Linked DNA regions of Xenopus tropicalis. The protein of the gene in region 7 purifies or fractionates together with the protein of the main gene of each other region. This does not show direct contact. Links are inferred from orthologs where the notes say so. Each region holds a gene or a part of one and is shown on either strand. Other genes may lie near its edges.

Evidence for each region.
Region 1: the proteins of ccnf (region 7) and ccp110 purify together in Homo sapiens (affinity purification with western blotting; 7 studies listed by BioGRID and IntAct, with this or other methods). This does not show direct contact. The link is inferred for Xenopus tropicalis from reciprocal best matches to the Homo sapiens genes CCNF and CCP110.
Region 2: the proteins of ccnf (region 7) and rbx1 purify together in Homo sapiens (affinity purification with western blotting, with the first as the bait; 4 studies listed by BioGRID). This does not show direct contact. The link is inferred for Xenopus tropicalis from reciprocal best matches to the Homo sapiens genes CCNF and RBX1.
Region 3: the proteins of ccnf (region 7) and rrm2.1 purify together in Homo sapiens (affinity purification with western blotting; 5 studies listed by BioGRID and IntAct, with this or other methods). This does not show direct contact. The link is inferred for Xenopus tropicalis from reciprocal best matches to the Homo sapiens genes CCNF and RRM2.
Region 4: the proteins of ccnf (region 7) and tardbp purify together in Homo sapiens (affinity purification with western blotting; 3 studies listed by BioGRID, with this or other methods). This does not show direct contact. The link is inferred for Xenopus tropicalis from reciprocal best matches to the Homo sapiens genes CCNF and TARDBP.
Region 5: the proteins of ccnf (region 7) and sqstm1 purify together in Homo sapiens (affinity purification with western blotting; 3 studies listed by BioGRID). This does not show direct contact. The link is inferred for Xenopus tropicalis from reciprocal best matches to the Homo sapiens genes CCNF and SQSTM1.
Region 6: the proteins of ccnf (region 7) and cdc6 purify together in Homo sapiens (affinity purification with western blotting; 4 studies listed by BioGRID and IntAct, with this or other methods). This does not show direct contact. The link is inferred for Xenopus tropicalis from reciprocal best matches to the Homo sapiens genes CCNF and CDC6.

The regions. Positions count from the first base shown.
Region 1 is NC_030685.2:31,810,209-31,814,410, forward strand, and holds the start of ccp110 (centriolar coiled-coil protein of 110 kDa), read left to right. Parts: upstream 1-1,392; 5' UTR 1,393-1,622; intron 1,623-3,420; 5' UTR 3,421-3,487; intron 3,488-4,202. Other genes in the region: gde1 (glycerophosphodiester phosphodiesterase 1), read right to left, coding at 911-1,183.
Region 2 is NC_030680.2:115,969,901-115,973,873, forward strand, and holds the start of rbx1 (E3 ubiquitin-protein ligase RBX1), read right to left. Parts: upstream 2,801-3,973; 5' UTR 2,792-2,800; coding exon 2,678-2,791; intron 382-2,677; coding exon 303-381; intron 139-302; coding exon 68-138; intron 1-67. UniProt on the Homo sapiens protein: E3 ubiquitin ligase component of multiple cullin-RING-based E3 ubiquitin-protein ligase (CRLs) complexes which mediate the ubiquitination and subsequent proteasomal degradation of target proteins, including proteins involved in cell cycle progression, signal transduction, transcription and transcription-coupled nucleotide excision repair.
Region 3 is NC_030681.2:138,189,995-138,194,273, reverse strand, and holds the start of rrm2.1 (ribonucleotide reductase M2, gene 1), read right to left. Parts: upstream 2,808-4,279; 5' UTR 2,706-2,807; coding exon 2,619-2,705; intron 2,549-2,618; coding exon 2,498-2,548; intron 1-2,497. UniProt on the Homo sapiens protein: Provides the precursors necessary for DNA synthesis. Catalyzes the biosynthesis of deoxyribonucleotides from the corresponding ribonucleotides. Inhibits Wnt signaling.
Region 4 is NC_030683.2:64,773,772-64,777,281, reverse strand, and holds part of tardbp (TAR DNA-binding protein 43), read right to left. Parts: intron 1,123-3,510; coding exon 607-1,122; 3' UTR 1-606. UniProt on the Homo sapiens protein: RNA-binding protein that is involved in various steps of RNA biogenesis and processing.
Region 5 is NC_030679.2:22,202,832-22,207,035, forward strand, and holds the start of sqstm1 (sequestosome-1), read right to left. Parts: upstream 2,809-4,204; 5' UTR 2,473-2,808; coding exon 2,283-2,472; intron 931-2,282; exon of another isoform or gene 493-930; intron 1-492. UniProt on the Homo sapiens protein: Molecular adapter required for selective macroautophagy (aggrephagy) by acting as a bridge between polyubiquitinated proteins and autophagosomes.
Region 6 is NC_030686.2:8,868,904-8,873,050, forward strand, and holds the start of cdc6 (cell division control protein 6 homolog), read right to left. Parts: upstream 2,810-4,147; 5' UTR 2,736-2,809; intron 1-2,735. UniProt on the Homo sapiens protein: Involved in the initiation of DNA replication. Also participates in checkpoint controls that ensure DNA replication is completed before mitosis is initiated.
Region 7 is NC_030685.2:22,533,370-22,536,879, reverse strand, and holds part of ccnf (cyclin-F), read right to left. Parts: intron 3,139-3,510; coding exon 3,032-3,138; intron 2,902-3,031; coding exon 2,834-2,901; intron 2,491-2,833; coding exon 2,276-2,490; intron 2,024-2,275; coding exon 1,970-2,023; intron 1,853-1,969; coding exon 1,748-1,852; intron 1,526-1,747; coding exon 1,448-1,525; intron 973-1,447; coding exon 821-972; intron 531-820; coding exon 366-530; intron 256-365; coding exon 132-255; intron 1-131. UniProt on the Homo sapiens protein: Substrate recognition component of a SCF (SKP1-CUL1-F-box protein) E3 ubiquitin-protein ligase complex which mediates the ubiquitination and subsequent proteasomal degradation of target proteins.

The DNA.
Region 1 (4,202 bases), about 9.3 Mb from region 7:
CAAAATATGCCTTGTGTGATGCTGTATATACAGAAACTAAAGCTCTAAGGGCTCTGGCACACGGGGAGATTAGTCGCCCGCGACAAATCTCCCGTGTCTCGGGCGACTAATCTCCCCCAAATGCCATCCCACCAGCGAAAATGTAAATCGCCGGTGGGATGGCACACGCGGCGGCGCGATTTCAGTGAGATGGTGCAAGTTTCCTCTCGAGGCAACTTGCGCGATCTCACTGAAATCGTGCCGCCGCGTGTGCCATCCCACCGGCGACTTACACTTTAGCCGGAGGGATGGCAGGTGATGGCAACTCTGGGAGATTAGTCGACTGAGACACGGGAGATTTGTCACGGGCGACTAATCTCCCCGTGTGCCAGAGCCCTAAGGGTGAAGACACATGGAGCTACTAGTAGCAGCTACTTGTCCTGGCTACAAAAATAGACAATGCTGATCATTTATTGATAATTGTCTCTACCCGTGTTTTAGCAGAGGCAATTCTCAGTATTGTCTTTGGCAGGGTGTTTTCTGGCGTTTAGTAGCTGTGAAAAAGTAGCTGCTACTAAGTAGCTAAGTGTGTCTTCACCCTAAATGAGATTTCATTTCAGCTTTGCTGTCGGATGAATAAAAGGTGAAGGTAAACCCAAGATATAATGAAATTCTAAGCAGCTTTTACAATGGTTTTAAAGTTATTTGCAAATATTAATGCAGCTAGTAACCCTGGCAGACGAGTGTTCATGGCTTCCCTGTGTATGATTAGAAGTCAGAACCGGCAATGCATATAATATCAGGGGACAAACGATGTACAGCTTTCAATGACAATGGCTGGAAATCATTATTGAATCTATAGTGGAAAGCGCTAAGAATGACATTTATTATTAGGTTCGCATGTGGGGCTATAGAGAAAAGAGATACTGACGGTTCTGATGGCGGCCAGGGTGTTCTCAGGAGCATCGTGCCCCCCGCCTCTATGGGCTACTGTAGCCGCCCTCCCTTTAGGTTTCAGCACCTGCAGGGCCCGGGATTGGGGCACCGGCTCGAACCTACAGAAAACCAGCAGCAGATAGATACCGCCCGTAACCAGGGACGTGAGAAGCGGGTTCCGAGTCAGCAGCAGCAGCACAAGGAAAATGCTACTGAATGAAGCCAAGAGGCCATCACCCCACAGCATGGCGGGGGCAGATAAAAGCATACGGAGCCCAGAGACACGAAACCGGTCGCTCCAAACATACACCGGGTGTATTGACGTTGCAAGAACTACAACTCCCAGCGTCCCTCTGCCTGTGCCGCCTGCTTGGGGACGATGGAAGATGTAGTTCCGAATACCCAGCGCCGAATCCCACCAATAGCCACGCCCAGCAACCCGGAACTGTCTTGTTAGAATTCCGCCCTTAAACGCAAGTCCCTCCCACAAGTAAAAATGGGGCGTGTATCTGCCGGCCGTTGCCAGGCGCTGTAGTTGCCGCCGGAGACCTCAAAATATGGCGGGGTGGAGGCGGGTTCTGAACTGTCAGCAGCCCGGAGCCATCCCTGCATTGTTCTGCCACTGTTAACCAGCAGAAAGTGTGGAGTTGTTGGGCAGGGCGTCTGGGAGACACAATGTTTCTGTGAATGGCTTTTCATCTGTGTGGGTAAGAAATGGCTTTTTATCTTGTGTAACTGGCCATGTAGTTTATACATGGGTATCAAGTGAGGATGCTGGGACTTGCTACCATAATAATAAGGACGAATTTGGCGTGCCTTGTACTTTTCCCAGTACAGCGGGGGAATTTACTTTGAAAGTACAGAATTTAGATCTGCTGTGGGGCTGTAACACGTCCCTTTGGGTAAAGGAGCTCACCCTTTTATCATAGCTGTAATGTTCTTTCATGGCAATTGACTGGCTGTTGGGTATCTATCTATCTATCTATATCTATCATCTATCTATATATGTGTGTGTATTGGCATAGTGATGTCATCAGTTGTAATCAGTGCTTAGTAATGTAACTCATATGTATTATATGTATAATAAACAAAAAAATTCCCCCCACCTCAGATTTCCATGACTGTGCCTCTCGGTGGTCATGGGACTTCTTGGTCACTAATATTCATACATGTTACAATTGTGGGTGCATATGTATATGTAGGTTGACCTAAACCTGCGGGTCGGGCAGGCTTAGGTTGAGATTTGAGTGACCATAGTGGTTCTGGGATGGGTGCATGTCAGACTGGGGAAGAACATTCCTTCTTCCAAGGATTATCTTTCTTGGGACTAGAGGCGCACACAGAAGTAGTGTAAGGGCTGTGGCACATGGGGGCAACTAATCCCCCCGAAATGCCATCCCACCGGCTATAATGTTAATCGCCGGTTAAGGGTTGAGTATGGGCCCTAATTTGGCAACATTTCACATGTTAAGGTCGGGTGCGGGTTTAGTTTTTCCTGACCTGCACATCACTAATAAACAATAGCAATGGTGGTTTTCAGTCAAAGCATGTGCAAACTGCAGCATCATCTGTTGTTCCACTACATCTCTCAGTATGCCACAGTCATAGGCATAGGAAACCTTTAGTGTAACCACTACAACTGAACTAAAGCACCAGCATTCTATTCTAGATAATTTGATGAAGAGGGTAATATATTCCATAACAGTAGGTATGATGCTTCTACTGCCTAAACAAAACATCATATTTTGATGAAACCTGCAGTTAATATTTGCATTCCATATAAAGGCACGAGGCCGAAGGCAAAGTTGGGGGTACTTGTATTAAATAATACTTGTGTATTATTTATTATAATACACAATTTTCAGTAAGTCGTGTAACAGAAATCACTAAGCGATTATAACTGATGACATCACTAAGCACTGTTTGTAAGGATATAATTTACAGGACATGCATGCATATTATAAATATATGTGTGTATAAATAAATAAATAATAATATAGGGGAGTACTGCTACACCTATTGATTCAGGGGAATCTGTTGCTACTAGTACCTCCTGGCCAGGTGGTACAAGCAGACTTGTGCGTAATTGCTTTTGATTTGCAATGAAATGCAAGTACAGGTGCGTTAATTTTGATGAATTAGAAGCAAAGAGCTCATTACCCCTTTGCGACCGCAGTGAAATTCTGGGAAAAACAATATGGTGTGTGCACACTTGCAGAAATAAATGAGCCATATTATCTATTCTTCTTTTCTTTGATTTTGATCTTTCAAAATCTTTTTGTTTCTGTTTGTAAAAAAAATTAGCAATATTCCAAAACCTCTGTGTGCCCACCTTTACCCTTTATCCATTTATATTTTACTCCCTTAAATCCTTTTTTTTAATGGAAATATTGATGATTTATTGTTTCAAGCCTCATGATAAACCTTGTTTCTGGTTTGATGTGGAACTTTATCATTTAAATGTACCCTTTTGTAGTAACCCTGTTATTTTTCTTTCATTTGCAGAATAAGAAGAATATCTTTTTCTCCTGTACAAGCACATCATAACTTTCCATCTTCCAAAGAAACCCAGGTGTGTATGCCTAATGATTTGCTTATTCTACATTATTTCCTGTAGCTGCATCTTTTTATAACTATCTGTTCTGGGCTACTGGTCCATGTGCATTTTTCTGTTTAGTCTGGACCCAACTGAACCTGCATTATTTTAATTTTTTTGTATTTCTGCTGATATATTCTATAGTGCTTTACAGAAATCATTCATCAGTCCCATTATGTCATGCCCCAGTTACGCTAACCGTGTAAGGACCCTTTCATGTAAATACTAGGGATGCACCAATTCCAGGATTCTGTTTAGGATTTGGCTGAATCCCAGGACTGTTTCCAGGATTCAGCTGAACCAAATCCAACCCCCAAAAATCATATAATGGCTCTGGGCAACACAATGCAATTTTTTATTTATATTAAATGTGAATATTCAACTTACAGTTCAGAATTGGTGTAGTATTCAGTAATCTTTTTTGAAAGATTGAGTATTCAGCCAAAATAAATAAAAATTATGGATTCAGTGAATCTCTATTACATACAGTGAAGTCATTTTAATTAAGAACCTGCTGCCTATTTATGTTTTGGCATGCAGAAGGTAACTGGAGTTCCCAGAGTAAACTCTCACAAATAGGGAACATTCAATCCATGCAGATAGTACAAGTCTGGGGCCTATTATCAAGAATGCTCGGGACGTGGGGTTTTTCAAACAAGGGGTCTTTCCGTAATTTAGACATTAATTAAAC
Region 2 (3,973 bases), on a different chromosome or scaffold from region 7:
GTTTCTCCAAAAAAACTATATTATATATTTGATACTAAGTCACTGAATATCCATCAAAGCTACTTACATTACACACACCCCATGCCACAGTGCATTCCTCAGAAGTAGCAGAAGCTTGGTTTGCTTGGCACTCTATGCCTAGAAGATACAAGAGGATTATTTTTATTTTCTGCATTTGTACCATTCAAAGGGGTTATTCACTTTTTCAAAGATAAATGTATATATAAGCACTGGGACTAACTAAAATGTTGCTTACAGACAACAGTTGTTTTATCGGCTAAAGTTCAATTAAGGAAACTTACACAAGTCCATGATGTGGTTCCTGCAGATGGCACAATTGTCCACTACAATGTCCCAGGCCCAAAGGGCAACTGCATTCCACTGCAACAAAAAAGAAAAAAAAGTTAAAGTGATGTAAATTTTGGCAATAAATTAAATATGTTTTAAAACTCATCTAATCACTTAGCACAATCTGCTCTAAGTTGGTTCATGTGTATAGAATTACCGGTATGTTCGATTTACTAGTTTAGCCAGTTTTACCAGACAATGGCTTTGGAGTCTTACTGGAATGGTTAAACGTGGCCCAAATGTGGCTCAATGAAGGCACCAATATCAATGTGCCTAGATCAGGGCCGGAATAATGGGTGCCAGACAGGTACCTCTCCTGCCTCCCCCTAGTCTGCACTAACTTGTCATTTCCTTCACTGCACGTGGGTATTATGCATGGGAGGGTGCAGGGGTAAGGTGGCCGACCAGGTTGCCTAGGTGCCCGGTCGGCTTGGCCTGCCTCTGGCCTAGATGCTTGGCAGACCCTGTTACCTCAACATGTAGCCTCACACAGAGCTGGATAAGAGTGTCGTCTTGATGACCCCCCCCCCCCTTTTTTTTTTTTTTTTTTTTTTAACAGTAATCTCAGGTCAGACTGTATACAACAGCTCCATCAGGAGCTTATTTCTAACAAATAAAGTGTCTATACCATAAACATATACTTTTCACTAATTCACTCAAATTAAAAAAAAAAAAATATATAAAAAGTTGGGGAGCAACACAATCATGATAAAAGTGACAAATAAGGGCTGTGATTGGTTATTTGGTAGCCCAATGCAAACTGGCAGAATAAAGGAGACTATTTGGCAGTACAGATGGTCTTTATGCCTACAAAACTTGCCTTCAAATTAGACATTAAGAAATAAACACCTGTTTTGAGGCCACTGGAAGCAACATTAAAGGGGGTGGTGAGCAACATGTTGCTCATGAGCCACTGGTTGGGGATAACTGATCTATAACATGAAGGGAGAAGGACCCTCTAAGCAACTCCATAAAAAGGTGATTTAAAGCACAAGTTGGGGGATGGAAATAGGAAAATTTCCAAGTCTCTAACTATAACTGGACATACAGTTACATCTATCATTTAGAAACTGAAAGGGTATGGCATAGCTGTAAATCTGCCAGGAACAGGCCATCCACGAAAAGAGAGTGAATGTGCAAGGAGAAGAATAATGTAGAAGGTCACTAAGAGACCCATGACAACTCTGTGGCTGAAATTGGAAAGGCTATAAATACAACAAATACTGCCCAGTAGTGGAAGAAAGAAAGCCACTGTTAATCAGGGTTGGACTGGGCTACGGGACACTGGGGAAAAAGCCCAGTTGGCCCCAGCCTTCATTTAGGCTTACCCAGTGGCACATACTACAAAAAAAAGTATATTTATATGAGAATGGCTTTTTTGGATGAAGTAGGGTTTTACATATGAGCTTGTATATGCAATACATATTTAGAGACCTACATTGTTTCGGAGTATAGTTTTCCTTTAAGTATAGGGTATGCAGGGTCTGAGGGAGAGGAGGCTGTAATGGCAACATACACCAACAATGGCACATACACCATGTTTGATACTGTAAGCTAAACACACCATGCCCTGCAGAACTATGGTGGCAAAATCATCACGCTGTGAGAATGCATATTCACAGCTCCTGTACCGTAGGGGTATATATATCATGCTGTGCAAAAAGTGGAGTAAAACATCACCGATGAAGTTTATAGCAGCCAATCAGAACTGTTGAAATCTAATAGCCGATTGGTTACCCAGCTCAACACCACTGATAATGCTTCACTCCACTTTTTACACAGCATGATTAATATACCCCTACATGTGCTAAATGCAAGTCATTTGACCCCTACATTTACTTGTTCAACAATTTATTTTTTATCAAATAGCCCCGTTTCTTGCTCTCACACCGCTAAAAGCCCAAGACACATTCCCTGCCTCCTCCAGGGAAACAAATGAGCAAATGAGACCACGCAATGTCTGTGGCCCTACAGCTCCCCCGCAAACTCGTGAAGTGCGGCTACATGATCCCGCCTCCCAGTGCAGCTGAGAGGGGCACTTACATTGGTTAGAATTCATCCAATCGTTTGTGGCATCAGTAGCTATCCGCTATTGGGCCGCCGGAACGACAGAAATCACCGCTTTGCCAAAACGGACCGCCCTAAGTATTAGGGTTTAACATTTGATTCGGCGGAAAACACGTCAATCAAACATCTAAAAAGCTTTAGGGCGCAAGCAATCTAGCTGAATAGTATCAGCTGCTGCACTGTCGCCCTCTTTAAGTATTAGTTAGAAAGACTGTTCTGATCATTTGCTACATCCATAACATACGCAAGCAAGCACACTTACCTTCTTAACCTCAAAGCGCTTCTTACTAGCGCTGTTATTCGTTCCGCTTGGTGTGTCTACATCCATTGCGGCTGCCATTTTGAAAAGAGGAAATTCCGGGTCTATATGGCGCATGCGCCGAAAGCTGGGCTGATGCCTTGGTCATGTGATTAGCATTAAAGGCGCACAGTTTGGGGCGTGTTAGTAATGTGTGTGGGGGCGGAAGACGGTAACGAGGAAGAGCTGCGGTCTGCAGGCTTGGAGAGAATTTATTTAAAGGCGTAGGCACATGCTCCTTGAGGGAAGTAAAATGTACAGATTTAAGCAAGCTAGCCTTTTCATCTGTTCGTATTCACTAAGGGGCTGTGGTGTTCTGGTTAAGCAAAATATTTCTGTATTGAACAGTTAACCCTTTCACTGCCAGCTGATTTGGTCAAAGCAGAACTTGTATTGCCAGACTGTTTTGAAACATTTTGCACTCTTAGGGCCTTTCCTTGGGGGGACTTTTAGTTTACACAGGAAAACAATATATCTTTTTTTTTTGGGGGGGGGGGCGACCTAAGATTTCAAAATATGGTAGAATTTTTGTGTGATTCCAATTCTGGAACAAGATATAGGCTTCTTAATGTCTAAAAGATTAAAAAAAACAAAAACAACAAAAAAACAACAACACGTTTTCCGTAATATAAACACATATAAAAGAAACAAATGATTTTATGCACAAAAATACAACTGATTCGGAAAGTCCCATGTCTCCTGAATGTGCCAGCACCAAATATATATATAGTTTTATGTCGATTTCTCATTTGTGTGATTCAAAAATTCCCAGCGGTACACTACCTACCAAATTTCCAAAGCACTGCTCCAGAAAGCTTGCATACTTAAGATTTTAACACCTACATTTCAGAAGGTTTATACCAGAAAATTATACATTTTTGGAAAGAACAGATTCTGAGGAATGGAGAATAGGTTAAAACTGTCTGTCTACTCCAAACTACGAAGTTGCAATGCTTTCCTAAAATTATTGTTTTTTTATCAAAATTTATCACAAAGCTAAAACTGTAGTACTGTGTTAGCCAGTGTCAAAAATAATAATAAAAAAAACAAAATACAAGAGTATTATATATAAAAATAACATTGCAAGCTTTCGGAGCTCTAAGGACCCTTCGTCAGGCAAAATATGTATAGGTTTCCACAAGTGTGTGCAATGTAGGGGCCCTAAAATGAAAATACCCCTATATGATCTATCATTTCTGTCATTTCAGCTCCTGCAAAATCAACATTTACATTATTTTATGTGGAATGAAGCTACAAAAA
Region 3 (4,279 bases), on a different chromosome or scaffold from region 7:
AAAATAAAATATTCCAGCCTTCCTCCACCAATTTATAAAAATATAAATAACATAATAGTTTTTATACTTAATTGCTCTGCATCTAATGAGGTTTGTCTCAGGCTTCTAAGCAAGGAGACTTATACAGCTTATCTTTCCAAAACAAATCAATGAAACTAATCACGTGTAAAATGAAAGTGCTTCAATCTTACTGTTCCGCATGGTTACAAAATAAAATACCAGGTACAGGTATAGGATCCCTTATGCGGAAAGTTCCGAATTACGGAAAGGCCATCTCCCATAGACTACATTATAAGCAAATAATTCTAATTTTTAAAAATGATTTCCTTTTTCCCTGTAATAATAAAACAGTACCTTGTACTTGATCCCAACTAAGATATAATTACCCCTTATTGGGGGCAGAACAGTACTATTGGTATTTTTTTTAATGTTTACATGATTTTTACCAGACTTAAGTTATGAAGATCCAAATTACAGAAAGATCCCTTATCCAGAAAACCCCAGGTCTTGAGCATTCTGGATAATAGGTCCCGTACCTGTATTGGATTTATTATCCGGAAAGCTTGGGACCTAGGATAAGGGATCTTTCCATAATTTGGATCACCATACCTGAAGACTGCTAAACATTGCCACCAATATGGATTCATGCAACCCTGGATTTCAGTTTGAGGCGCTCAGAAGCCACTCCATTCTCCACGCCCACCCACCCACGCTGGATAGTGGGCCTGTGCATCCTTCTCAGTCAGATACAGAGGACTGGGGAAAGAACAAGCTGAAGTTTTTTTTGCATATCCCATCCCCAGTGTTTCTTATCTGAAAACATTTCACTTGCGGCTGGGCAGCATGCCACCCCTAAATTTATGCCACCCTAGGCCCAGTGTGATAAAACTACTTTTTATGTACTCTGAGAAAAAATGTTATCTCTTCTGCTATAATGTAACTGTGGGGCAAATGATACAGCCTGTGTTTATGTCTGTTTAATGTTATGTGTAGCCAGCCTGAATTTCTGTTCTCCCAAGGTTAATTGACCCCTGCTGTGAGAACAAATAAAGCCAGGACCCTCTGTATTCCAATACACAAAGTTGGCCCCAAGACCCCCCTGTAAGGGCTGTGCTCTTTCTGGATCCTGCATACAGACTAAACTGGGCATGCTCACTAAATGGCACCTCATTGGCCCAGTGGTATCAACTGTAATTGGCCCCTCTGGAAGCTGCCTTTGGGTTGGCAGAAGAATCAAATACTGTTCTGCATTTACAACAGGGGCAGCTCCCTTTCTGGCTTACAAAGGAGGCTGCCAACAATTCCAATTTGTTAGTCTTTATTATACACATGGAAGATCACAGAGACTGCCCAGCTGTAACCATCACAGCTGTACCCGCAAGTACCCAGTGCCCAGCAGTAGCAGTGCTCAGCCCTAGCACCCCCCGCAGGCAGAACCACTAAGTGCAGGCTGGCTACCATAGGAACTCTGAGCAAACTGGCAATGCTGCAGCTACAATAAAGAGCCTCATTTTCTAAAGGTATTGTGTGTGTCCACATCCTTCACGCGACTCCGTGCCGGCACACCCGGCCTTGCCACAAATCTGGGCCTGTTAAGTTACCATCAAGTACAAGCTACTCTCTTATTACAGTGAAAGAGAATAATTTTAAAAATGTTTAATTATTTGCTTATAATGCTTTCTGGATAAGGGATCTGATAACTATATTTTCAAATAAAGCCCGTAGGCAGAAAGTAATCCAACAAGCTCTATACACTAAACATGTTGATAACAGTAACCCCTTTGTCTCACGATGAAGCAACAGCACAGAGAGGAAAGCCTAAGGGCTCTGGCACACGAGGAGATTTGTCGCCGGCGATTTTTAAAAGAGCGATTTGGCGACAAGACAAGCGACAAGACGCCAATGCTAAATCAATGGAAATCGCGTCAAAACATACGAGGCTACTTCAAATCGCCTGCTGTTTCAAATCGCACACAGACCCCTTTTCTGAGCGACTTGAGTAAACATGAGGGGGGGTAACGGTTGAGTGTACCATGGGTAGCAGATCGCCTGGAGCTCAACTCGCATGAAATCTCTGCGTGGGTATTGTCGTGGCGACTTGTCACCAAAGCGCCAGGGGGAAAAAACGCAGGCGACAAATCTCCTCGTGTGCCAGAGCCCTAAAGGATGAGGGAACTGGGATGGGGGCTTTTGCAGTAAGGGTACAGCTTAACCCACTGTACTGCTGAGCTCTTCTGCTTAGGATTTATTTTCCAATATGGCCATTGATGTAGCTGTATCATAGTGGATTCAGTAAGAGCATGGCCCTTGAGGGCTCATATGTAATGTGGGGGAGACATGATGAATAAGGTATCCAATAGCCACAATTCAGCATGAAAGCACATTGCCTTGTGGGGGGCCATGTTCACCCCATTATAGTTATGAGCGAATGGAGGAAGTGCACTGGAACATCCCGCTACAAACACGTGGTTTATAAACTCAGCAATATCGATCTCACCCATTGTTTGTGTGTTCCCCGGGAGGTCCTGCCCGAGTTGAAGCCGGGGGGCTGTAAGAAACAGAAAGAGACTAAGAGGCTGCTGTACCCGGCCATGTTTGCCCTCACTAGGAATACCCACCGTGTTCTCTTTATCCAGCAGCGCCATCCTCTTCATGGGGGACACATTATCCTTAAGAGGACTGAGCGCATTGCGCGGAGACAGCATGTTGTTTTCCCTTCAACCTATAGTACCTCAACCGCTAGAGAACCGGCCGGACTGACCGACAGTGAGGGGCAGCTGCAATTTATAGGTAGTCGAGGGAGAACCAATGAGGAGCCGAACAACCGCCGGGTGAGACACTCTGATTGGTAAAGATAATATCACCTGATAACTCAGGCTTGTGTTCCCGCTCTGCGCTCTAGAACCCGGGTTCCTGCCTGTTCCTATGAATGCACCTGTTTTTTTTTTTTTATTTTACTTTGAGGTTGGCCTGATTTGACTGGCATATCCATTGCTTACTATTGGCCCCAGACATTATTGCATATACTCTTACTTGTTGGTCATTTCATGTTGCCTCTGATAACATGGCCCCAAGCAGGGCAGCCATCAGAAATCATGGGGCCCCTCACTCAAAAAAATTTTCTGGGCCCCCCTCCCACCAGTACAAAGGGCTCACAGACATGAGACATTGGTAGCCAGCAGGGCCCCCCTAATGCATTTGTAGCCAGCAGGGCCCCCCTAATGCATTGGTAGCCAGCAGGGCCCCCCTAGTATATTGGTAGCCAGCAGTGCCCCCCCCTAGTACATTGGTAGCCAGCTGTGCCCCCCCCAGTACATTTGTAGCCAGCTGTGCCCCCCCTAGTACATTGGTAGCCAGCTGTGCCCCCCCCTAGTACATTGGTAGCCAGCTGTGCCCCCCCCTAGTATATTGGTAGCCAGCAGTGCCCCCCCCTAGTACATTGGTAGCCAGCTGTGCCCCCCCAGTACATTTGTAGCCAGCTGTGCCCCCCCTAGTACATTGGTAGCCAGCTGTGCCCCCCCCTAGTACATTGGTAGCCAGCTGTGCCCCCCCCAGTATATTTGTAGCCAGCTGTGCCCTCCCCAGTACATTTGTAGCCAGCAGTGCCCCCCCTAGTACATTGGTAGCCAGCTGTGCCCCCCCTAGTACATTTGTAGCCAGCTGTGCCCTCCCCAGTACATTTGTAGCCAGCAGTGCCCCCCCTAGTACATTTGTAGCCAGCAGTGCCCCCCCTAGTACATTGGTAGCCAGCTGTGCCCCCCCCTAGTACATTTGTAGCCAGCTGTGCCCTCCCCAGTACATTTGTAGCCAGCAGTGCCCCCCCTAGTACATTTGTAGCCAGCAGTGCCCCCCCTAGTACATTGGTAGCCAGCTGTGCCCCCCCAGTACATTTGTAGCCAGCAGGGCCCCCCCTAGTATATTGGTAGCCAGCAGTGCCCCCCCCTAGTACATTGGTAGCCAGCTGTGCCCCCCCCAGTACATTTGTAGCCAGCTGTGCCCCCCCCCCCCCCCAGTACATTTGTAGCCAGCTTTGCCCCCCCAGTACATTGGTAGCCAGTGTCTTGTTCAGCTCCTCCGGCGTCTTACGCGGCGACATCCTTCCTGGATGACACCTCTGCACTTCTGAGTGCCGAAAGAAGACAGGCCCTTTTATAAGGTTGCGCCCCGTGCATGTACGCACGGGGCGCGACCAATAGGATCACCCGCTGACCACCAATGACAGGGCCCAGAACGGATTAAAGAGCTACTAAGAAAACTTTAGCATGGCGGGCCCCCTTTT
Region 4 (3,510 bases), on a different chromosome or scaffold from region 7:
CTGCATACGCTCTTGTTCTCGCTCATACCAAAGACTCTCATTCTTTGGAAACACCAATCCCACAGTTCAAACAGCCTTCTGGTTCCACCTCACAGCCGTGCGTTCAAATTGCTGGTACGAATTCCATGAAACAAACTGGATAAAAATGGATCACCCACCGTCTTAAGACTCATCACGCAGCATGAATCTTCAGGCTAGGAAAAAGCTTGTAGGCAAAAGTGCTCCAGGGCAGGGAATCAACTGCATTCAGTAGCAGGTTCCAGAAAGGCATGGTAAGGAGCAGAGATCAGTTGAAGCAGTGAACACAATTAAGGTAGGAAGACTGTCCTAAACAAAAATGCATGATTCCATTTACATTAATATACAGACTGAGGCAAAGAAAAAAGGCTGGAATTACTACAGGTTGTTAACCAGTGGTCTATAACATGCATGTTCAGTCAGAAAGTAGTATTGAGACCAGATTGTTAAACTGAAGTACAAACTTAGAAAACAGTTCCCTTAAGTTTACTACTGAACATACTCAAAAACCTTTTGGAAACATTCTGCAATATACTTACCATAAAAATTATGAATTACCCACCAGAAACCCAGTGTCTTCTAATAAGACTACATTCCCCATCCTGAAGATTTTGATTCCATGCTTGAACTAAAGCCGCCATTAAATCCACTGCCAGATCCAGCATTAGGGGACCCCCAACCTATTGCACCAGAGTTGGAACCATAAGAATTATTTGAACCAAAACTTTGTGGCTGGTCCCTTTGTTGATTTCCTTGACCCTGATTACTTCCCTGGGGGCCAGATTGATTCTGTTGACTAGCGAGCATACCCATCATACCCCAGCTGCTTTGCAATGCTGCCTGGGCAGCTGCCATCATTGCTGGATTTATGCTAAAGGCCCCAAAATTCATCCCTCCACCACCACCCATATTACCACCCTGGTTGTTGCCAAGTGCACCACTACTTGGCCGGCTGTTGGGGTAACCCTGGTTCCCAAAACTTGGGCCAGGAAATCTGCCACCTCTCTCTAATTGCCTATTGTTATTGTGCTTGGGCTCTGCAGTAGAAACATGAACGCTGACTCCTTTAATGATCAGGTCTTCACCACAGAGAGATTGTGCAACCTAAAAGAAATAACATTTGAATGAGTACCCAGCACAAAAACCATAAGTTGTTCCACATCTGGATTTACATTAAGGTGCAAATTTGAGTCTAAGTCAACACAGCACTCTTGTTTTGCAGGCATCATAGACATGAAGTTTAAAGGAGAATGAAAGGTAAAAATTAAGTAAGCTTTATCAGAAAGGTCTATGTAAATACAGCCATAAGCGCACACAGAAAAGATGCAGAGTCCTCTTTCAAAAGAAACAGGATTTATTTTCTTTTGTGTACACATGTACTTAGGTATCAGACTTCCTCATAAAAATCCTTAATTTCACGGGCTGGAGTCTGAACATGCTCTCTCCTGCTATTATAACAATTCACTCCCCCTCCCATCAGAATGTCAAATCTGAACTAAGTTACCAGCACCTAGAGCTTGAAGCTACTGAGACCAAGCTAAAATGGCAGCTGCTATCTTAAACTGAGGAAGCTTTAAGGGCTGATTACTTAGGTATGGTAAAGCTTTCTGCAGAATAAACATAGCATTGTAGCTTGCACTAACGTGGCTAATCTATTGGCAGTAAAATGCAAAAATGATTTTCCTTCTCCTTTAACTGGAAGGCAGGTGTATGCACAACATGCAAGTTTTTTCAACACTCAGCAGGGGGCAGGCACAGAAAATCAAGCAGCATGGGACATCTGATTTTCTGGACTAAGGGGCATATTTATTAAGCTGTGTAAAACGAATTTACTGAAAAAACAACGTAAAAATCTGTAAAATAAATGGAGAAGATCGCTGTCTGAACACCAGATTTTATGCCGTTATTTTACAAGTTCTGGAAGAAAAAACATGTAAAGAAATTGTCGATTTTACGCCTTTTTTTTTCTACACAGCGAAGCCTGGCGACGTGTGGTGAATTTTCTCGCTTTTTTTTTTTTTTTTACACAGCATACTATAGAGTATGTAGACATCCTGGATAGTTTGCACTGAAACGGTTGCAAGGTTGCAAACAAAGGACCTGTATGTGTACAGTGCCATGCATTCACTTATACCAAACTAGAGAACAGCATCTGCTCAAACAACTGTTTCAGACTGGGTAGGTGGGGGGGGGGGACCATGAGGTCACAATTAAAGTCAGTGAACCAGCACATCTCAGTTTGTTGTAGGCGACTGTCTACTAACATTCAGTCTAATATCTAAATAAAAATAACAGGCAAAGTCAAGAAAAGGATAAAGAAAATTTAGTTCAAACAATCTTTACAGCGGCCAGTTATTTTGAACTGCTACTTTAATATATACACCTAATGTGGCCCATCCTGTACAGTACCCTGAGCGACTCCTCTGGGTTGACACTGTATAAGGGGCCATATACATTTATCACCACCTTTGTATGATTCAGTATTTGAGGGACAAATATTTGGAGCAACAGCAGTTAAAAGCGGAGACGTAGCGCACTTTCTTTCAGTTGACAAATTGTCAGGGCCGATAATTCTTGATCCATCAGGACAACAGGATGTAAACTGCCCCTGACTAACCATACATACAAGTATAGTCAAAATAGGTCAAACTGCCTGACCAAATCTGGGCATGTGTCACTAGCTTAAAACAGTCACACACATCCTGCACCAAGCTGACCAATGAACCTATACAAAATGCAAGGGGGGAAACCTGGTCAACCAGGTACTGTTTTTGAGCAATGAGCTTAAATAGCAGCACCAGAAAGCGACTGATGAAAAACTCTTGCATATAACCCATGCAGCCCAATTTAATCAGTCATCCTGTGAACATACAAGCTTTATATTATCGCAGTCTTACCAGATAATGTGACAAAATCAGTGACTCTTCGTTCAACCAGCAAAAATGGCTAAACTTATTTACATGTAATTAGCTTGCAATCAGGGCAGCAAGGCAGAGAGGTCTTTTTTAAAAAATGAGTCTTGGCTTACGGCACACAGCACTGAGCCAAAAAAGTTGCCATCCAGTCCAGTGCACTTGAGTGCAATATGGACTGCACTTCCAGCTGACAGTAATGGGAAGATATCTGTTGCTTGACTTCATAGAGAGTTTTAGAAACAGTCATGGCAATAGCTAGATACTCATGGAAGATAACTGGCCTGTTTGGCTATACAATGCTAGCCAAAATATTTAGTACAGTGATACCTTATCTGACTGTTACCTGAATGAAAGGATAAGGTGTTGAAACCATTTCTGTGTAGCTGATCATTGTAAAGACATGCTGTAAGCATTCGCCAGATGTATTTACCAGCACTCCTGATCATAATCTGCTTGAATGGACCCAGACACAGTGAAACAGTATTACAGTGACGGCCACAGAATACCTTTATTATTCCTAAACAGTTTCCCCAAAGGTAGCCCAATACGGAGTGCATTTCACTACATGCACATGGTA
Region 5 (4,204 bases), on a different chromosome or scaffold from region 7:
ACTATACACTGGGAATCATTTATTAACACTGGGCAAATGGACAGTAACCCATGACAATTACATTTTTGCTTTCACTGTTCACTGTTTTGGCTGGCTAAATCAGTGATTGGTTGCTATGGACTACTGCCCACGTGCAAATTTGCCAAGTGTTGATAAATGAGCCCTATTATGTTTTGACCTTATTTAGTAACCCAAGGCTACCTGCTACTATCTAGCAGGGAAGATCTGTACCGCTGAAGATGCCTCCCATAGCTCCCCATCTTCTCTGCTGCTAATTCACAGCACATACTCTGGGGGGCTACTGTCATTTGCCTAAGCATAAGGACCCATTCACAATATACATTCTATACATTTAATATAAAAGTTACAATGAAAGTCTAATTAGTAATTAAATGAACTTCACATTAATTACACACAAGTTTAGAAACCAGTGCAACCTGAAACATCAGCTTCTGTAAAAGTTAAACTTAATTTTCTGTTTGATAATTTCAGGCAAAGCTTAATTTCTCAAAAACAGCCAAGAGCACACAGAGCAAGTGCAGTGTCACTGACACTAAACAGATGGCTTAACAAGGTCTAAGATGGTGAGCTGATCTGGAGTCCTGCATAATTCCTGTTGCCTCTGCTGTTACAACAAGTGCAGTATATAAAATACAGCATTTCAAGAGAAATTCGTTTTAGGCTAGGCGTCCTCCTTCAATGTAATACACAGCCTGGCTGAATTCTGATAAGATTGAAAAATGAAGTCTGATCTGCTGAGACTATACATTGGTGACCGTGGGAAGCTACAACCTTTGCACAGTTGCACACTATACTTCCTGTACAGGAGATTGCCTCAATGCTGTGTGAGTTGTTTCTATTATAGGTGCCATGGATCTACCACGTATTTCATTGACTAAACACTGGACAGCTATTATGGTATCTGCTAAGGTAAGGTTTAGATATCGCTCAGATTCTGCTTAATAACTCTTTAGTGCCCTCATCCTAATAACCTGCTTCCCCCAGTTTCAGTCTCTAGCTATTATTAATCAGGTCCTGGCTCGGGAAAGATGTTAACCAGATCCGGCAAGAGTGGAAATTTCCACATGTATAAAAGCCAAGAAACATTGTTATCAGCATAGTTCTGACCTACTGACAATCATCCAAACGTATCACAAAAAATACAATACAAGCCGACAAGTACAAATATATAACACAGACCTTAGACCGACAACCTTTGCCACTCCCCTTGCATAACCAGACAGCACCAACAAAACAAACACACAATGGCCCTTCCCCTTTAGCAGTGATAAAGCACGCAGCCATGTTTTTTTATAAGAAAAATACTTAAGTTGTGTACATAACCCATGCCAGTGCTTGTGTGAGCTGCAACACCCAAATCCTGGGCACACCACGGATCACTAGACAAAATTACTAACTCATCTATTAAGAAATGGTTAGAAAACTGTCTGTTATTCATTATTTAAACATTATATTCATATTGTTTTTCTAAATCAGTTTGTAGTACTAGTTATAGTACTAATATCTGCTAACAACCATCTTATATTTATTAAATGAGTCACCCATGTAGATCAATACACGAGGGTTAGGGCTACCAACAATCCAGTGAGGGCAATGTGGCTTGTGGGCTAGGTGCCTTATGCACAGATTGCCCTACCCACATTCACTGAACTTTCCTTATTATTTGGCCTCAGCGCTGTTTATTCTGCCCTAGGCAATAATATTATGCTGTGATTCACCCTGAAGCCATAACCACACTGAGATATAAACAGAATTAGTAGCTGTAGCACAAGTTTGTGTTGCTACCATCGACTGTACCCGAAGATCGTTCCTATTGTGGGTAGGCTGTGTGTGCGCTGAACAATTATTTGCACATACAAGTGTATAATGTACAGAATTTACCCCAGACACAGGCAACCTGTTGCAACTCACTACATTCTTCCAGCGTATGAGCTACAGAGGGGTGTAGTTCTGCAACACAGAGACTGGAGACTGGTTCTTACTATTATTACACATGATAAACTGGCAGTCATTCAGCATCCCCTGCTGGACATGGTATCTTCCAAGGAGATTATTTGCCCATTAGGGAGGTGGGTTTATCCTCATGCCAAGCCTCATATTACCTTGAAATTGGAAGCAAAGTGCAGGGGATATATATGCCAATATCTGCTGGCAAATATGAATGAAGGTCAGGTTTGAGGTCGGGTAATTATTAATTATATACCCATGTAACAATTATTTGATATAAGCAATTATTAGTATATAATGACTGAGCTTCCCACCTTTGTAGAACATCTGGAAGGCTCCCCCTTTGAGGCCCTGGAACACGCCAGTCACCTTGTTAGCTAGCAGCTCGCAGCTGGACACGGACGCCTTCTCTTTGCCGGCAGCCGGCAGCTCCAGCTGGAAGCGGCGGATCTCCCTGTGACTCTCATCCTTGCCCAGCAGATAGGCTTTCACGGTGACTGGCATGGTGGCACCTTGGGCACCGTATAGGCGGCGATGTCGCAGTTAGGAACAAAACAATGAGCAGAACGACTGCGCAGAAGTTTGTTATTCTGTGACTGACGGCTGAGAGCAGTCCCAGCTTTATTTATACAGCCAGCCTGGAAATCCCCACTCCTCCTTAGTCCACCCTCTACGTCCAATGTATTCCTATTAGTATCAGCCCTTTGGAACTTGCCAGACTCTTCCACTCTGCTAGCCACGCCCACCAACCTTGTGATGTCACCGTGACCTGGCAAAACAAAGGGGGAACTCCACACAGTGAGGGGACTAAAGACTACCAACTGCAGGGCAATATTACATAATAAATGACAGATTCACAGTCCTCTGAACAGTATAAAGTACAGTTTAACTGAAAAGTGTACAATAACCTCTTTTTGTGAATTTAAGGTTTTTATAAGTATAATTAAATATAATTTCTTACTCTATTCTCTGTTTATTCCACTTTTGGGATTGTAACTTCCTACACATAGGGGCACATTTACTAACCCAGGAACGCTCCAAAAGCGTTTTTTTTTCGTTATGATCAGTATTTTTGCGACTTTTTCTGCGCCATCACGACTTTTTCGTATATTCCATGACTTTTCGTCACATTACCGGAATGTTCTTTTGTGTGCAAGTGCACTGATCGAGCCCATGCAGATATGCACTGAAAGATCAAAGTCAGAAAGGTTTTCCCGGCGTTTACGATCGGTCAGTACGAAAAATTTGCAATGATGGCGACGAAAAAGTTCAGAAACTTTCGTTTCCAATCCGAATTTTTGCCGTTCGGGATTCAAATTCATGGAATAGTAAATGTGCCCCATAGTGTCTGTATCTTAATTATGGCGCCAGATGTTGAAAGACTGCAGCTCCCAGAGTGCTTTAAAACTAGACTATATGGTGAAGCGTGCAGGGAGTTATAGTCCAGCAATATATAGGAGCCCAAGCTTTGGAAACATCTAGAACAGTTGCAGATTGGGGTTGCCACCTTTGCTTTCCTATATTTTATTTTATCATTCTCCATTACAGATAACATCAAGCATAAGTTTTGCTGGACAGATGGCAACTCTATTCACAGATGGGTCACTTGCCCAGTTTGAGTTATGGTGAATTTTAACTCAAACATGACAGGAGAATGTAGGGCCAATGCCTTTAATGGTGAATATAATACAGTTGCAGCTTATGTTCCTAAGCAGACTGAGGCCTACTGTGTCGGACTGGCCCACCAGGATACCAGGAAAACTCCCGGTGGGCCGAGGGGTCAGTGGGCCCTTATTCTCCTGACCATTTGGCATACTTCAAGGTCATTTGCTATTTCTGAATGGGAAGAAAGAGGAGAAATAAATGGAAGGATAGATGTAAATAAAAGAGACTAGGAGAATAAAGAGGTTGGGTGAGGAAAGGAGGAAATATAGTTTGGAGAGTGGGCCTAGGGTCCAAGGTTTTCTGGTGGGCCCCTGGGGTCCCAGTCCAACACTGCCTACTGTAGCTGGAACAGCTGCTTACACATGAAATTGGATGGCAGGGCTAACATGGGCATTCAGAAGTTGAATCTGAACACTTTTAGTGAAGATCCAATGGGATTTGTGACCTGCTCAGGTACCTGAGCCTCAGAAGCGCATACAAGCACTTTGCCTTGGGAGCAGTGTCTGATCAGGGCAGCAAAGCATTTATTTAGGAACAACAGTGCGTTTGGCAGCATGGCAGCAGTATGCCC
Region 6 (4,147 bases), on a different chromosome or scaffold from region 7:
AACAAATCGGCGGGGTTAACTCCTTCAAGCCTTGGATAGTTCAGCTCTGCACATCATAAATATTACTTCCAGTAATATTTCAATGACAGTTTAGGCATAAGGCAACAGACCTAAAAGCCAGAGCTGCAGCTTCTCCTGTAAACGGCATTACCTGCTGATGACCACTGGGGGGCACCTGTACTATGGCAGAAGGGTTGCAAAAAGCCTCATTACACAATATGGCAGCTCTTGGCTACATGAGGCCTTTAAAGGGGAAGTGCAGCAATCAAAAACAAGGGAATAACCTGCATGTTTGCTAAATGCAGCTCTTGGGATATAGTCATAGAATCATTACCACCAACACTATTCATTTATACATTGCTTCCCCTTTAATCTAGGGAAGGCTGCACTCAAACTGCTGAAATGATGCAAAATGGCTGCGTTCCCGTCTGCCTAATAAAACATATGCTTTGTTTTCTCTGGATATGATTTTGTAATTAATACATTTTCCTTTTTACATTTGCTTTTTCCCCGAGTATGCAGATTTTGCTTTTGTAATAAAACATATGTAGGGATCCATAGGGTTAACTAGTCCCTATGGCTTTAAACCCTGCAGCTTCCTGGTTTTGTGCTGTTACTGGGCAAAGACCCATGTATCAGTTTTGAGTTCATATGTGTGATTATTGGGTAACAGGGAGACCACTCCCTTGGGACACAGATATAGTGTTTAGCAGGGGGGGGGGGTCTGTCTCTTTGGCTGCCTGTGCTCACAGGGGAAGCAGCACTGTGCTGGAGGCAAAGGAACTAGGCCCCAGTAAGCCATGTGCCCCAGAGTGTGTCAGCCACTCTGGTGAAGTCGGGGACAGGGACCCTGTGAATGAGGGGCAGTTAAATAGCAGTTTTGTGGAGCACTTTGTAGGAAAGTGAGATAGTGAGGGAAGAGAGCACGAGCAGTTTGGCTCAGAGGAAAGTAGCTGTGGGAGTCCCTTCCATACAGGCATTGTTGCCTAAGTGTAGGGCCACGGTTTAGCCATAGGAGGCAGGTAGACTGAACCCTGATCCAAAGTTGCCGTGGGGCCTGAGGAGAGTGGTATCCAAGCTGGCTGTTCCACATAGTGAGCACCTGAACCGGTGGCACCAGGGTCGGACTGGGGGGTGCAGGTGCCCTAGCCGTGTCCCCTAACCCCCCCGCCTGACGTCCCCCCCAAGCGCGTATAAATTGAACACGTCAGAGGAGGAACAGTCAGTAGGGGGAGCGCCGGCAAAGGTCGGACTGGGCTGCAGCGGGATTTTTCCTGGTGTCCCAGTCCGACCCTGGGTGGCACTGATCCTGCCCGGGCTCGTGGGGAGTTGGGAGGAGCGGGTGTGCCCCCTCTCTGTGCTGTCCTCAGAGAACTGCTATGCTAACTGAGGTGTGAGTATATTGCATAACCCTGCTTGTCCCTGACAATAAACCAGTTCTACTGTTCAACTGCAAGAACCTTCTGGCGCCCATTCGTTACTCTGCCCAGCTACAGTGGGTTGTAGTTGCCCAGCTACAGTGGGTTGTAGTTGCCCAGCTACAGTGGGTTGTAGTTGCCCAGCTACAGTGGGTTGTAGTTGCCCAGCTACAGTGGGTTGTAGTTGCCCACCTACAGTGGGTTGTAGTTGCCCACCTACAGTGGGTTGTAGTTGCCCACCTACAGTGGGTTGTAGTTGCCCACCTACAGTGGGTTGTAGTTGCCCACCTACAGTGGGTTGTAGTTGCCCCACCTACAGTGGGTTGTAGTTGCCCACCTACAGTGGGTTGTAGTTGCCCAGCTACAGTGGGTTGTAGTTGCCCAGCTACAGTGGGTTGTAGTTGCCCAGCTACAGTGGGTTGTAGTTGCCCAGCTACAGTGGGTTGTAGTTGCCCAGCTACAGTGGGTTGTAGTTGCCCAGCTACAGTGGGTTGTAGTTGCCCAGCTACAGTGGGTTGTAGTTGCCCAGCTACAGTGGGTTGTAGTTGCCCAGCTACAGTGGGTTGTAGTTGCCCAGCTACAGTGGGTTGTAGTTGCCCAGCTACAGTGGGTTGTAGTTGCCCAGCTACAGTGGGTTGTAGTTGCCCAGCTACAGTGGGTTGTAGTTGCCCAGCTACAGTGGGTTGTAGTTGCCCAGCTACAGTGGGTTGTAGTTGCACTACACCATAGCTCCGTTTGGTTACTCCCACATAGGGAAGGCCCATCCTGAAGGACTGAGCCGTGTCCCCCCCATGCTCTAGGCCTATCTAGCCGTGCTGTTGGCTTGGTTACAGCCAAGAAAGGGTTACACATATGCAGCTGCCAATACTCTTACAACGTGCAAAATGGAGTCGTCCATGCAAAGACCCAGTCATGTGACTGAGGGTAGAACAAATATTTGCGTATAGTTAAAGCCATTTACAATACAGATAAGCAATAAACCCCTCAGCATTAGCGCTCCCTGCACCCCCGGGCCTGACTGTAAGCGGAAGCCAGCATTACTCCCACAATGCATTGCAAGCTCCCATGTATCTGCGGCTTTGCTACTTTACCAAAATTGTTATAAATGATTAAAAGCACGGAATTGCTGCATTATCAAAATTGTTACGAATGATTACAAGTGCGGAATTGATACCTTTACATTTTCTTTCACGGATGAGAGAAAACTATAATACGTGACATAAAAAGGGCGACACTATAGGCGGAGGTGCACATAAAGTAGCCCCTAGACCGCGGCGCCGCTACAATAGAACATAAGGTGCCTCAATAAGGACTCACCGGCTTCTCAGCGATAGTGTGACTGAATTCAGTTGGAAGTAACAACTCGCAGCTCTCACCGCTTCCTCTCCGAGCCCCCCGCACACTGAAGCCCAGCGCGCCAAACCTGAGGTAGAATAACCAGCGCGCCTTCAGAATCTGGCGCCAAGCTCTCCCATTGGCCGGCGCTCCAAACCCCGTCCCAAGCTGATTGGCTCCTTCCGAGCACATTGTGCTGAAGCGCTAGGCGTTAACCATGCCAGCCAATCACAAGCCGAGAGACCGCCGGCGTCATGAAAAGCTTGTTTTGCATTTTGATGCGGTGGGGGAGGTTATAGCGCCAAATCCCGGCTGTGTAAATATTTGTGTTGCAACATAGAAGTGTTCGCAGAAACATATAAAGATCTTTCCTGTTTAGAAATAAAAACTTAGCCTGATAATTTATCAGTGAAACAATGACATTATGTGGAATGAATATATATTTACTATAGTTGTGTAACACCTATTTGACCTATTTAGGGCTCTGGCACACGGGGACTCGCGAGTCTTTTTCGGCGATTTGCGCGAAATCGCGCCGCCGCGTCTGCCATCCCGCCGGCAACTTACATGTTTGCCGATGGGATGGCAGGGGTAGGCAACTCGGGGAGATTAGTCGCCCGCGAACAGGGAGTTTTGCCGCGGGTGACTAATCTCCCCGTGTGCCAGAGCCCTTAAGGACAAATCCAGGCTAGTAGTATAATGGAGAGCATGGGTTACATGCGACACTTAATACAAGGGAGTGAGCCTCCGCTATATGGGAGAATTAAGATGGAGCGAGGGTGTAGTTGAACTACCACTAGCTGAGGTGTGTGGTGCAAATAGAGAATGATGGACGCCAGAGGATTCTTATGATCAAATAATAACTGGTTTATTGTACAAAGCAACTGGGTAGTGTGGCAGGGTATATACTCACAGACACAGCAGTATAGGAATTGGTCACAATGGAATATAGCAGATGTGACACTCAAGGAACAGAATACCCCACTTGGAGGATGCACAGAGGATTAGCTGATACCTGAGATATAGACCTTTCAGAAGGGAGTGTTCCGGCCGACTGTGGTCCAGGGGAGAGCTCCTAACACTGGTACCTGGCGTCTAATAAAACCAGTCCCTAAAGAACAACAGAGCCAGGGTAGGCTAAACCCTTTTACAACTCCTGGTTGGGGCTATTAACTGCCCTTGCTAAATAAGCTAACTGTTCTCACCACTTTTAGAGGGTGCTATTAATAAAACTGATTGTGCTGGCTTTACCTCATTCACGGGGCCCTGTCCCCGACTTATCACTAGGGTATGAGGTCCCCTAGGGCACAAATTGGCTTCTGGGCCTATGTCCGGTCCAGGCTCAATTGGAGCTCTATCCAGAACACAGCATGCAGCCAAAAGAGGAAGACACT
Region 7 (3,510 bases):
CTTTCCATGCACTGCTTTCTACGGACATCAGTGAGGAGAGTAGCTAGTGTTTTGCTTTTTACAGTAGGATTAATCCTTTATACTCCACCTCAGAGGGGTCAAGAAAGAGAAGCCTTTGTACAACCACTTACCCTTATTTTGCCCTCCAGTGCAGATATGATTTCTCCCATCATCCGAACCAGATCCTCATACTTATAGGTGTTATCAGTCAGCCACACTGCTTCTCGGATTGTCAGGATCTCTTTGCTAATAAAGCTACCGAGAGTAAAGAAAAATAATTAGCTACCTGCAATCATAACCCAATGTCTTTCTTACATGAAGGCAACTCATATTTCCGCCCTACAATGGATTGACACCTCACGTACCGTGTGCATATGACCATGCAGGCAATTCCCACCAGTTGGAGCTTGGCCCGTGGGACGCTGCGCAGTTTTAAGTACCGGTCCACCAGACCCACTGTCATGTGTAAACAAAGACTGGAGAAATCTTTCATAGTGGCAACCTCTACCAGCCAGTCTATTAAGATGTACCTAAGGAAGAGACATCAAGATAAACAAGTGTAAATAAGTGACAATAATATAAAGAAGAACAATCATACAATTGTATTAGACAATCAGCAGCTATTTCTAAAAAGACAGGCACCTACATATAGTGATTGAAAAATTCCATTTGCACTGGGAATCACGCTGTATAGCAGTTTTTATTCAGATGGATATGCACATAAAACTGATTATTTTATTGAAATTATCTTCCATTGCCACCTGACAGGCAACAGCCAATTTGCTAACATTGCAGCTCTAAACAGGGACACCCAACTTACCGCATAGTGTCATTCATGCCCTTCTGAGTGGTAAAGATGCTGGTTTTGTTGATAGGCAGAGATGACTGGAATACTTGGTTTACCAATTCACTAGCTGATCGCTGCTCCTGGCTCAGCTGGTTCTTGTGACCACAAGCCTTCGCCAAGGAAATCTAGAGGGGAGGGGGAGGAAATTGCAGTCTATTATGACCAATAAAGCCTACATTACACATTTACATGGCTAACAGTATGACTTAGTACAACAAAATACATAAAGCTAGCTTAAATACAAGGCTGGGCTTTCAGGCGAATGTAGGACAGCACATAACTATTCACTACAAGTCCCAACATATCAAGCCTTCAGGCCTGGCACCTATGCTATTAGGGAGGGGAACAGGACAAGACAGACTCACAGTTTAGGGACCTTTGCAATAAAAGTACAGTAACCCCTTATCTAACTATGTATAAAATGAGCTTTCAGTAACACAGTCTGGGTTCCCTAACAGCTCATGCATAAAAGGTGCTCTCAAAGCTAAACTGGTGGGTCACCAAATAAAAGACTCCTATGCTGCTGTAGGGAAAGTTCAATGTTGCTAGGTTTGGTTACCACTAAAGCAGGCCACAATTCATCCCATAAATGATGCTTACCTGTGCATCCCAGCAACCCCTTGCCGCATAATCTCGTAGCTGCCTAAAGCTCTGTAGGTATCTGCCAGGGTCTGATAACTAAAGGAAAACAGAAAAAAAAAGAAAGGGGAGTGAGTTATAGCAAGAAGAGGTGCACAAATATGAGGATTGACCGTATGGTCAACAATAAAAGGTATTATTTAGGATATTTCAAGTTGCTTGCCATGTTTGTGGCATTGTCCATATCACTAACATCTAGGGGACTGTTAATCAAAACATTGTACAATAGAATAGAGGGAAGAAAGTTATAAGGGCACTCACAGCAGTTTTCTGTTTGGTTTCCCAGAGTAAGTAAGAGCTATGCAAACAGCCATGGGAGGCAGACGATTCAAGCATTCCCAGAGCTTCTCTCTTCTTGTCATCATCCTGCAAGAGACAAGGATCACAGGGCTCACATTTATTCAATGAACAGTTACATAAACAGAGCAAATTACCAATTTATTAGACCTCAGTGCCTCAAAGAGAAACAAGATGGCGCCTTACCTCAAACAGGCTCAGAACTTTTGCCAGACAATACTGAATTGATCCTTTGAGAGCCTAGAACCAAAAACATAGAATTTGTTACTTACAGTGCAAAAGCAGGGATAGAGAGAGAGAGAAAAGATAGCCACGTTATACATATTATGGAGACAGAGAGGGAGAGAGAGAGAGAGAAAGATGAAGATAGATATGTGGTTCAGCATCAAACCTAATTGTTCATATTGTGAAATATAAAGGTTTCCCATGACAGGGAAGGGAATTTTCTGAATAGGGCACAATCTGAGATTGCTCTTTCAATAAACCACTCACCCCCGTTGCCCCTTCTTCACTTGTAACAGTCCCACACTCCTCTTTCAGGCTGTCAAACACCACCGCCTTACAGCAGCTTCCAGACGAGGACCAAGGGGGGCGGATGAAAAGCCACACAAAGGGATCTGCACCAGAATTCAGGCGTTCAGTCAGGCTGAAGAAACGAGAGGCCTTCAGTCCGTTCACTTCTGCCCTCCCATCGTCTGACAAGGACACTAAGGAAAAAGCATGAGAAGGGTAAGTAACACGAATTATCACTTCTGGTAGGGCAGAGATCATGTGTTAGCCTCAAACACTATCCTATAAACTGCTTGTGCCTCCTAAAGGGATAGCACTTCAAGGCAAATTATGTGAATAGGATCATTGTAACAGAAGCACATCTAAATACAACATTTCCAGGAGATCTTCAACCTGAGGCTCAGCTGCTGAACTACAACCCCCAATGATCCCATAATCACAACTAGAGAACTGTAGCTTGAAAAGGAAGCCAAAAACTGTATTTCAGGAATGATCGTGGCTGCAACATTATCTAACATGATATTAAAATCAAACACTTACAGCCTTCATTGTACAAGTAAGCGATCCCTAGCTTCACACACGCTTCGAAGTTACCGCATTCAGCTGCCCTAGAGAGAATAAAGAGAAACTGCCATCAGATATCAATCGCCATCATGTGACCAGGGTTTGTGGATTTATTTACAGACCACTCAGAGGGACAGACTGTAGGTACCAGCAATCTGTCACCCATTATCTTACCTTTCAAAGAGATTCAAGTTTTCAGGAGAAGGCCAGACATCTTGGAAAGAGGCACGAGCCCAAACACTACTGTGAGAATCCACCAGGGACCTCAAATGTGGATGAACCTGGAACACAAGGAAGAGATTGAGGGAACAATGGAAAGAATGAAGCAGCGTGCATGTTTAAAATAATATTAAAACTATATTTATGGATTTAGTTTTAGTCTCTGCTTTCATGGGTACAGACCCTCAGGGTAAGCAGCGAGCAACCAATTAACACATACTCTGGCGTAAGGCAGCAGGTACACCTAATGCATGTAGCACTTTGTCAATTTTCCAAAGGACAGATTAATAGAGTCACCAAGTTAAGGGTGAAGACACATGGAGCTACTAGTAGCAGCTACTAAAATAGACAATGCTGATCATTTACTGATAATTGTCTACATTTTAGGAGGCAATTCTCAGTATTGTCTATGGCAGGGGATTTTCTGTAGCCAT